Linked DNA regions of Elephas maximus indicus. The protein of the gene in region 2 interacts with the protein of the main gene of each other region in a pairwise test. Links are inferred from orthologs where the notes say so. Each region holds a gene or a part of one and is shown on either strand. Other genes may lie near its edges.

The links.
Region 1: the proteins of CBY2 (region 2) and DZIP1L interact in binary tests that used the Homo sapiens proteins (3 or more experiments, as listed by UniProt). The two-hybrid records come from large-scale screens. The link is inferred for Elephas maximus indicus from reciprocal best matches to the Homo sapiens genes CBY2 and DZIP1L.
Region 3: the proteins of CBY2 (region 2) and C3H19orf44 interact in binary tests that used the Homo sapiens proteins (3 or more experiments, as listed by UniProt). The two-hybrid records come from large-scale screens. The link is inferred for Elephas maximus indicus from reciprocal best matches to the Homo sapiens genes CBY2 and C19orf44.

The regions. Positions count from the first base shown.
Region 1 is NC_064844.1:39,517,306-39,521,056, reverse strand, and holds the start of DZIP1L (cilium assembly protein DZIP1L), read right to left. Parts: upstream 2,725-3,751; 5' UTR 2,038-2,724; coding exon 2,035-2,037; intron 495-2,034; coding exon 1-494. UniProt on the Homo sapiens protein: Involved in primary cilium formation. Probably acts as a transition zone protein required for localization of PKD1/PC1 and PKD2/PC2 to the ciliary membrane.
Region 2 is NC_064832.1:34,356,890-34,360,640, reverse strand, and holds the start of CBY2 (protein chibby homolog 2), read left to right. Parts: upstream 1-1,356; coding exon 1,357-1,431; intron 1,432-1,734; coding exon 1,735-1,815; intron 1,816-3,751.
Region 3 is NC_064821.1:36,721,288-36,725,038, reverse strand, and holds the start of C3H19orf44 (uncharacterized protein C19orf44 homolog), read right to left. Parts: upstream 2,829-3,751; 5' UTR 2,726-2,828; intron 1-2,725. Other genes in the region: CALR3 (calreticulin-3), read left to right, coding at 3,073-3,163, 3,373-3,474.

The DNA.
Region 1 (3,751 bases), on a different chromosome or scaffold from region 2:
CTCTTGAGCTCATCAGCCTGGCGGCCCAGCTCCTGCTGACCACGCTCCTGCTGACCCATGCTGGCCTGCAGCTGGGCCTCAAGCTGGGCAACGCTGGCACTCAAGCAATCCTGGCAGTGTAGCAGGTACTCAATGGTGAGCTGCGCCAGGCGCAGTACCTTGAGCAGCACTGGGTCCACAGGCTGTCCGCAGCGGCTGCACGTCTCCCCGTCCAAGTTGCAAAAGGTGACGCCAGCGATGTTCTCCTGCAGGGTGGCCACGTCCAGCTCCCGCACCACTCGTTCCACATCCAGGGCGCTGATGCGCCTCCAGTCCACGCTGTCATGGCGCAGCTGGAACTTGAAGGCAGGGAATGTGTAGGCCCCAAAGAGCGGGCTGCTGAGGCCCTCAGTAGTGGCTGCAGAGGACTGCATGGGAGGGAGAAGCCTGGGGCTGACCACCGAAGAAGGGTGCCACCAAGGCCACGGCAGCAGGCCAATGACCTGAGAGAGGGCCTAGAAAATTAGAAGTGAGTCCAAGTTGGTCAAGGTGCATGTGGTTACATGCACCACACACCTGGCTAGTAAGAGCCTAAGCAGGGTGAGGTGACGTGTCTACCTAGCGACTGTGGTTTGTGTGATATGAGCTAATGTGGCCAGAGCTGTGGAAAGAAAGGGTGTGGTCTTTGCAGTCACACAGATATGGATTCAATTCCTTAGCCTTCAGCAAGTCCCTCCATATCTTAAAGCCTCCTGTGTAAACTGGGGACTACAGGGCCCATTTTGTAAGGTTGTGGTTAGGAACGAGGCATTTGAAGTACCCAGCCCAGAGCCTGGCACATAGTAGGTCCCCAGTGAATCCCCCTCCCCCAGACTCACCTCTACTGCCTAAGTGCCTGTCAGAGGTCTCGGTCAGGGAAAGAGCTGTCAAATGTATGAATTGGTCCTTCTGCAGCCTACATTTACCTCAGGATAAAGTACAGCAACTTAACACGGGTGCAGAGCCACCAAATGACCACCACACTGTGTCCTCTCTTTCTCCTGTAATTACAGGGTCATTGACCTCGTGAAAGAGAAAGGCCTTGAAGAAATGGTAGGGCTGGGTATGCAACAAGGGAAGGCCCTCCAGGAAAGGCACCTCACGGGACCTCACTGGCTTCATCCGTAAAAGGTAGCAATAATGCCTGTCCTGCCTACCTCACAGGACAGGATCGGAGAAGATGTGAGGGGAAAGCACTCAGTAATAATACTGGCCCTGTGGAGGGAAGAAGTGTGCTGTCTCATTAGGGAGAGAGCAATTAGGAGTGTATAGCAAGGTGTATATAAATTTTTGTATGAGAGACTGACTTGATTTGTAAACTTTCACTTAAAGCACAATAAAAATTAATTAAAAAAAGAATAATAATACTGGCCCCTATGCAGGGAGTACCAGCCTCTGTGCTAGATACAAATACCACCTACCAACCCACAAACAAGTATCATTATTGTTTATAAACAATGAAACTGATGTCTTAGAGAAGTTAAACTGTAGGTAGGGAGGCCAGAGCTGAAGTACAATTGCAGGTGTTTCTAGCTCCAAAACTTGTGGATGTTGAACCACCCAACACTGACTCTTGGGGTTATTTGTTCTAAAATTTCTCGTCCCTCAAAACTCCAATTCATTGATTTGCCAATTTAAAAAATATATATATATATCTTTTTTTTTTTTATCTTCATTTACAGAACGCCTACGTGTGTCAGCCCTAGTGCCCGGTGCTGGGTTACCAACATGTATTAACCACATCTCAAGAGCTCCTCACAGCTGCTTGTTTTCCACAGTACCAAGTCCAAACCCTGGTCTTCAAGACCACCCACTGAATGCTGCCCACTCGCCTTTTCAGTTTTAGCTCCCATCTTTCCCTTCTCAGACACTCTTCCCCAATAAGTGCTCCAGAAACAAAACTATCCAGCTGCAAGTACCCCTACCATGACCATCAAGAGAAAGACAAGCACACTTCTACTTAACATGCAGGGTTACGAAAAAAAAAAAAAAAAGGGTAGGCGACACAATACTCACCATGCTCAGCTCCAAGCTACCTGAGCCTCAGAGACAATTGCTCACAACAAGCCGTGCCTCGGAGCAACAGCAGGTTACCAGGCATGCTGTGAGCAAGGGTAACAGGATACCTGCTTCCTGACCTCCCACAGACTGTGAGCTCACCCGAGAACTACTTGTTTAACTATTTAAGCTTTGGCTTCAGATGTTTGCCAACAGCCCTCTCTCTAATAACAACACAGAGAACTCTCCATCAACTCTCTCTCTGCTTTCCTCCTACCTCTTTGAATTCTCCTCCCAGCCTCTTCCATCCTTCCTAGTGCCCCCTTGATACTCTGCTGTTCACCCACAACCCATTTCTCCCTGCACACTCTTCCTGGGGATGAGTTCACACATGGCTGCAGCTTCAGCTACCCATAACCCTTCTTCAAGCTGAGCCTCAGACTCTCCCAAATCTCTTTCTGGGCATTTATTTCTTGAGGCCTCTAGACCCAGCCCTCCCATACTGATTATACCAGGAAATGTGGCTCAAGTGCCACAGGGGCCAAGAATGCATGAGTATAATTTTTCATAAAATAAATAAATGCCTGAAATGGGCCAAGAATAAGAGAAGCCATAGTACAAGCTTGATGATAAATGGCAACTGATTCCCCATCTTGGAGTCCAAAATATAATAAATCAGTGGTTCTCAAAGTGTGGTCCCTGGACGAGCAACATCAGTATCACCTGGAAACTTGTTAGAAATGCAGGTCCTTTGGTCTCAACCTAGGCCAACTGACTCAAAACCACTGCAGTAGGGAGTGTTGGGGATTGTGACAACCTGAAGAGTACAGGTCTTCTTTAAAAAAGGCAGTCACCATTGTGCTTCAGCCATATGGGAATGGATTTTATGTGTTCCACATGGGCTTGAAATTCTTTAAGAAGACATTCAAAGACATCTATGAACTGTTCCAAACTACCTTTCTAGCTACATCTCCACTTACGATATTACTGTCCATACTTTCATACCTCTGGGCTGTTTATTTTATTTATATTTATTTATTATATTTTATATAATATATAACATATTTATTGTATTTTTAAGTGCTTTACAAAGAATAGCTCATGTACTCCTCAGAATACCTGCCATGGATTGAATTGTGTCCCCCAAAAATATCTGTCAACTTGGCTAGGTCATCATTCCCAGTATTGTACGATTGTCTACCATTTTGTCATTGAAGTGATTGTAGATCCTACCACTGTGATGCAATGAGATGAATTAGTGGCAGTCATATTAATGAGAACTACAAGATTAGATAGTATCTTAAGCCAATCTCTTTTGAGATATAAAAGAGAGTAGCGAAGAGACAGACCTGGGGACCTAATACCACCAAGAAAGCAGCGCCCAGAGCACAGCACATCATTTGGACCTAAGGTTCCTGTGCAGAGAAGCTCCTAGACGAAGGCAAGATTGATGACAGGGACCTTCCTCCAGAGTTGGAGAGAGAAGGCCTTCCCCTGGAGCTAACTCCCTGAATTTGGACTTGTAGCCTACTAGACTATGAGAGAATAAATTTCTCTTTGTTAAAGCCATCCACTTGCAGTATTTCTGTTACAGCAGCACTAGATGACCAAGACAATACCTGTTGAGGTAGGTACTATTATTATCTAAACTAAAGAGAAAAAAAAATCTTTCCCAAGGTCCAGAAAGCAGGAATCAAGCCTAGGCAGCCTGGCTCCAGAGACTGGGCTCTTAGTC
Region 2 (3,751 bases):
TTTTTGAGTAGCTATATTTTCCAATTTTTGTACATCGGGTTTCTTAAAGCAGGGTGTAACTTGTAACTTGGGCGTGGGAGACTCTGAATGGCAGCTAAGGTGTCCCTGGACCTGCTGACCCTGGCCCGCCATTTTCTTCCCTGCATATGGCATACTAATAGGGAATTGGGGCTCTCTGGTTAATCAGAGGCTTAAGTTACATCAATAACCAGAACGAATGTCCCCATGAGCAGCCTCTGATAGAATTAAGACCAAATTCTCATGGTAACCACAGAGAAAGTAAATAAAAAATTATATACAGAATAAAACCAAACCCAAACCCATTGCTTCTGAGTCAATAAATGGCTCAGCACATACACACCAAAAATCTATATACAAAATAAGTCAGCACTGGAGGGAAAGGGGAACAAAAATGGGCTAAATCACACAGAAAACTAGTAACAAAATGGCAGAAGTTAAGTCCTCCTTTATCTATAATTACTGTGAATGTAAATGGATTAAACACGTGAGTCAAGAGGCTGAGAGTGGCAGATTGGGTTAAAAAAAAAAAGACTCATCTATACGGTGTTGGCAAAGAATATTGAATATACCATGGACTGCCAAAAGAATGAACAAATCTGTCTTGGAAGAAGTACAGCCACAATGCTCCTTAGAAGCGAGAATAGCAAGACTTCACCTCACATACTTTAGACATGTTATTGGGAGGGGACCAGTCCCTGGAGAAGGACATCATGTGTAGTAAAGTAGAGGGTCAGCGAAAAAGAGGAAGACACAGTGGCTGCAAAAATGGGCTCAAGCATAAGAATTGTGAGGATGGCGCAGGACGGGGCAGTGTTTCATTCTGTTGTACATAGGGCTGTTGTGAGTCAGAACTGACTCGGCAGTACCTAATAACAACAAGAACAACATATGCTGTCTACAAGAGACATGTCTTAGGCACAGAGGCACAAAAAGGTGAAGGCGAATTGGAAAATTTTGTCGAGAGGGGCTGGGCTGCTCCCCTCACAAAGCTCAGATGTCAGCCTTGTGATCTTGATGCAGTTTCTACATTTCCTCCTTTGGCCTGGGCAGAGTTCAGTTTGGGTTCCTTCCTTCTTCAGTGGTCCAACTCCAAGCAGAAGATGCCATGTCTAGAGAGAGGGAAGCAGTCTCAGCCCAGCCTTGCAGTGGGGATGTGAATGGCAGCTGGGATGACCAAACAGGGGCTGCTGTTTGGGCTATTGTGTGTCACACTGACCTGGCCAGGTATGTGGACACAGCCAGGGGCAAGCTCTTCCTGGCCTTCTGATGCCTTATTACCTCCTGCAATGCTCAGAGAGAAACCATGAGCCCTGAAGAACACCATATGGTTTTGTGATGTCACCTCTGGAATGTTCTGAGTGTTTGGATGACCAACTTCTGCAGCAGACCTATACCTGGCACCTCACACTGGTATGCCTTTTTTACTTGAGATAGAAATAATAATCTTAGACAAGGATGTAGGTATGACTGTCTCTGCTTCAAAGACACCCAGAAGGCTTTCACATCAGCTAAAACATCTGTCTTAATTTCTGTTCAGAGACTGATGAACATCTTACCAGATATCATCCACACATTCTTTTAGACTTGGGTTTTCATAATGTCCATGATGGCCCAGAGGGGAATAAAGAAGTACGAAGTGTTGTTTTTCCAGTGCCCAACTGAGGCCCAGAGAATGAGCTGGGAAGCAGAAATCTTATTTTCTCTTTTCCACAGAATTCCTGGCCAAATTTTACAAGGAACAGAGATACCAGATCTGAAAACGTAGAAATTCCAATCAGTGTGGTTCTACTTCAGGTAGGGATTATGACAGAAGGGTGTAACCGCCACATTAGTCAGACTAATCCTCCTCTTTCCAAACTCTAGCATGACGTCTCGGAACAAGTAGAGGAGGCAGGGCCTCAGATTCCAGTTCCGGGTTGGTTGCCGACCAGCTATATGTCTGGGAGAGGCAACTTTGCTACTCTGGGACTTGGATTTCTCTTCCCTCACTTGAAGGGGTTGGGCTAGATCATTCCCTAAGACTTTCCAGTTCTAACATATCAAGTCTCTACAATTCTCTGAAAAAACCTGACCTTCTCAAAATGAGATCTTTTGGCACTAGCCGTTGTGCAACCAGTCTGGATTTCTGGGGGCAGAAATAGGACTAGGTCTTGCAATCAAAAGTATGCAAGCAAATCCATTAGAAGGCCTAGTATACAGACCAAGGGATACAAGACTATTTGGAGGTGTCAAGAGAATTAAGCCCAAAGAAGTAAAAAAAATAATAAAAAATTTTTACTTCTTTTTATGTATCAAAGAAGGAGCTCTGGTGGTACGATGGTTAAGTGCTCGGCTGCTAACAGGAAGGTCAGTGGTCTAAACCCACCAGCAGTTCCACAGAAGAAAAGATCTGGTATCTGCTCCTGTAAAGATTACAGCCTAGTGAACCAGATGGGGCTGTTCTACCGTGTCCTAGAGGGTCACTATCAATCAGTTGATTTGACAGCACATAGCAACACCAATGTATCAAAGAGGAGTCCCTGGGTGGTGAAAATGGTTAAGTGCTCGGCTGTTAACTGCAAAGTTGAACGTTCTAATGCATACAGAGGCACCTTAGAAGAAAAGTCTGGCAATCTACTTCCAAAAAATCAGCCATTGGAAACACCACGGAGCATGTTTCTACTCTGACACACGTAGGGTCTGCATGAGTTGGAACCAACTCAATGGCAACTGGTTTTTATGTACCAAAGACAGAGGGCTTAGGGGAGACTGGCATGCTTTTATGATAGGGATTCAGGCAGAGGTCAATGAATTGGTAAAGTCCTGACAGGCTTGGAATACCCAGATTTCCTCCTGCTGTTTCCTTGGTGGGGTCCTGATTGGATTCCTACTGCTGCTATGTCACAAAGGGTCAGACTTACTTCTCCAGAGTCACTTAAGGCCCTGTTTGAAGACTATGGACGGGCAGCCAGAGGGGCTGAAATGTAGGGTGGAGGAGTCAAATGCAGAGGTAACGATCTGAAAGCTCTGTCCAGGGATGTGTACGAGGAGGCTCGATTGCCAGTGGGCATTCCATATTATTTTTATTTTCCTAAAGTTTTTTCTTAAGAATTTTCAGGAGAAGTACATGATTAGAAAGAAAACCTTTAGCATTCTTTGGGGTCGACTCTGACTCATGGTGACCCTATGTGTGTCAGAATAGAACTGTGCTCGATAAAGTTTTCAGTGGCTGATTTTTGGGAATTAGATTGCCAGGTCTTTCTTCCAAGGTGGCTCTGGGTAGACTTGAACTGCCGACGTTTTGGTGAGTAGTTGAGCTTATTACTTGTTTGGAGCACTCTGGGACTCCCATTCTTCCTATAAACCAAAGAACCAATCTCATTGCCATCACATTACAGCGTAGAGCTGAGGTCCACAGGATTTTGTTGGCTGTTATCTTTACGGAAGTAGATCTCCAGGCCTTTCTTCTGTGATGCCTCTGGGTGGGTTCAAACTGCCAACCTTTGGGTTAGTAGTTGAGTGTAAACGATTTGCACCACCCAGGGACCACCTCCATTCTTTATAAGTTGTTGTTGTTTGTACATGGTGGAGGTAATTTTTACAATCTAGGCAATATGTTCAGCAAGAGGGAAAAATACAGGACAAGAAAACATTCTGGATATATTTTTTTTTTTATTAACTTTTATTGAGCTTCAAGTGAACGTTTACAAATCAAGTCAGTCTGTCACATATAGGTTAATATACATCTTAC
Region 3 (3,751 bases), on a different chromosome or scaffold from region 2:
AGTGATTTAAAAAAAAAAAGGAAAACAGCTGGTGTTGGTGAGGTGGTAGAGAAACTAGAGCCCTCATCCATTGCTGGTGGGAATGTAAAATGGTGCACCTGCTGTGGGAAATGGTTTGGCAGTTCCTCAAAAAACTGAACATAGAACTATCATACGACCCAGCAATCCCAAACCCAGGTATCTACCTAGAAGTGAAAGCAAGAACGCAAACAGAAACCTCTCCACCAACATTCACTGCAGCATTTTCACAACAGCCAAAAGGTGGAAACAACCAAAATGTGTCCACTGACAGATAAATGGATAAACACAATATGGTATATGCACACAATGGAATAGTCCTCAGCCATATAGAGAAACGAAATCCTGATGTGCGCTACAACATGGACAAACCTTGAAAACATCATGCTGAGTGAAATAAATCAGTCACAAAAGGAGGAATGCCGTATGATCTCACTTACGTGAAACAAGCAAATATATAGAAACCAAAGACTATCAGTGGTTGTCAGGGGGCGGGAGAGCAGGGAAAGGAGTGTTTCTGCTTAGGGGGCAGTGAGTTTATGTTAACGGTGGTGGAATAATTTGGAAAAGGATAGCAAGAATGGGTACACAATTTGAAGAATATAATTAATATCACTGACTTGCACATGTCGAAGTTGTTGAGATGGTATATGTTTTAGTGTAAATATTTTCACCACAATTAAAAAAGCGTGGGGGAGAATGAAGACGTATGTTCAAGGAAACTCATGGCAGCATTGTTTGTGTTCACCGAAAGCCTAAATCCATCCCTAGAGAACTGGTGAGGTCCAGGAGACCCATCCAGACAGTGGACGACTATACATCCATTAAAAAGGAACAAGGGAATCATCTATATTAGACTAAACAGTCAACATTTACCCTAAGGCAAAGATGAGAAGGTAAGGGTGGTGGTGGGAGGGGGCAGGGAACAGGGAAGCTAGATTAATGGCAACAGAACAACCAGAATGGAAATAATGAGAATGTTGACACATGGTGAAAAACGTAACCGTCACTTAACAGTGTGTATAGAAATTGTTAAACGGGGACCTAATTTGCTGTGTAAACTTTCACCAGAAACACAATAAAATATTTTTTAAAAAGGAACGAGGGAAAACCATCTGGCAGTTCTTCAAAAAGCTGAACACAGAACTACCATATGACCCAGCAATTCCAGTCCTAGGCATATACCCAAGAAAACTGAAAATATATCCACACAAAGACTCATATGCAAATATTCATGACAGCTATCATTTGTAATATACAAAAAGTGGAAATAACCCAAATGTTCACAAACTGACACATGGATAAACAAATTGTGGTCTAGCCATACAATGGAATACTATACAGCCATAAAGAAGAACAAATACAGATATAACAACATGGATAAATCTCAAACACATCATGGTACAGGGAATGAAACCAGATGCAAAATGCCACATAGGTTATGATTCCACTTGTTTGAAATGTCCACAACAGGCCAATTCATAGAGACAGAAAGTAAATTGGTAGTTGCCTGGGACTAGGGGTGGGAAGGATGTTCTTTGGGTGATGGAAATGTTCTAAAGCTGGAGAGGGGTGGTGGCTGCTAAACTTGGTAAATTTACTAAAAATAATGGAATTGTACATTTAAAAGGAGTCCCTGGGTGGTGCAAACAGTGAACACGCTCGCCCGCGAACTGAAAGGCTGGAGGTCCACTCAGAGGCACCTTGGAGGAAAGGTCTGGCGATCTACTTTTGAAACCTCAGCCACTTAAAACCCTATGGGGGGGGAACCCTATGGAGCACGGTTCAACACTGATACAGCATGGGGTCCACAGGAGTAGGAAGTGATTCTATGCAACTGATACAGGTACATTTAAAATGAGTAATTCTTATGTAAATGATACCTCAATCTGCGGCATCACTTGTGTTGGTATCGCCCAGTGTGGTACCTCACGGTGTCACACACCCCTACCCGACCCCCGGCCGGAGTGGGCGGGGCTGGCCGCGAAACCCCCCCTGGTTGGAGGAGCAGCCAGGCTCGGCCTGTCCCCACAGCTCCTCCCCTTTCCCGTGGGCCAAACTCTCCTTTTCGCCCTATGGCAGGTACCAAGACCCAGCTGCTGATACCTTAACTGGCGGGTGAAGGGGGGAGTGACGAGTTACCGCACTGGGTGACAGGTGAATCCAGCCCTAGTGACGCCACCGCGTTGACGGCCCCTGCCCCAGCTGCATCCGTGTGCCCACCGCCTCGGACCCTGGGGTCATTTTAAAGTCACCCTCTCTAACAGTGCCCTCCTAGTGACACCACTAACCTCAATGAAACCAAAAAACCAAACCCGTTGCCGTCGAGTCAATTCCAACTCATAGCAACCCTACAGGACAGAGTAGAATTGCCCCACAGAGTTTCCAAGGAGCGCCTGGTGGATTTGAACCGCCAACCTTTTGGTTTGTAGCGATAGCTCTTAACCACTACGCCACCAGAGTTGTCAAAATAAATAAACCAAACTTTGAAAACACTGCCGCTGCTCACACCATCCCGGCTCTTCCCCCAGACCCTGGGTGCCACCTGCACCGGACCACGCTCCTGAGTGGGGCCCAGGCAGAGAAACTGAGGTTCGCTCTCTCCGTCGCCCCCAATCCCAGCTTTGAAGAGTGCCCCCATTTCCTCCCAGTCATCTCCCGAGCTGGAGCGCCCCTCGCCCAGCTGCCGCCCACCGGCCCCTCCGACCTCCTCCCACGCTGTCCATCCGCGGTGGCCGCCGCCGCGCTCAGGCCTGGCACCCAGGCCGGAGGGGACCGTTGCCCGGGCAACAGCACTGGGGAGGAAGAGACTAGACTACAACTCTCGGCATGCACTGCGCTGCGGAGACTAATGGCATAGCCAGTCACAATCGCGGGGCGTCATGGGAGTAGTAGGTCTGGGGTAGGCCCGGCGTGCACCGCGCGCAGGGGACCAATAGGAGGCCGGGTCATAATCACGGGGCCTGCCGGGAGTTGTAGTTTTGGGACGGGCCGGCAAGCTGCGAGGAGGCTACTGGGAGCGAGGAGCAGTCGTAGAGGCGCCACCTGGCCTCCATGGCGGCGGCTGAGGTCCAGCTGTGGGTGGTTTGCTTGCTGCGGGTGGCGCTGGCCACCGTTTACTTCCAGGAGGAGTTTCTAGACGGAGGTGAAAGGGGCCACGTCCGCTGGCGAGGGCGTGAGGACCCCCCACTTCGCTGCCCAACGGACGGCCGTGTCGCCGTTGGCCCCAGGCCCCTTGTTGCGGGGTTGAGGGTGGCGGAGCCTCGATGTTTCGAGGCCTCGAGCGCCCCCTCACCCTCCCAATGACACAAACTAATAGTTTTCAGCCCTCACCGGTGTTGTTTCCCCCCACAGAGCGCTGGAGGAACCGATGGGTGCAGTCCACCAATGACTCACAATTCGGGCATTTTAGACTCTCGTCGGGGAAGTTTTATGGTCATAAGGAGAAAGATAAAGGTTAGTGTAGGGATCCTGGGAAAATGAAGCTAAATGCTTAACGCCCCTAGCAACTTTGCAAGGTAGGTGTGGTGACCCCTCCAACACCTGTTACATCTATTTTACAGGTGAGGAAAGGAAGACAAGGACTTTAGGGAGTTGTTTTATGAGCACTTGTTAGTTGCCTCCCAGTCAATTTCCACTCGTAGTGACTCTACAAAATGACAGAGAGAACTGTCTCCTAGGGTTTCCTAGATTGTAATCTTTACGGAGGAGCCTTGGTAGCACAACAGTTAGG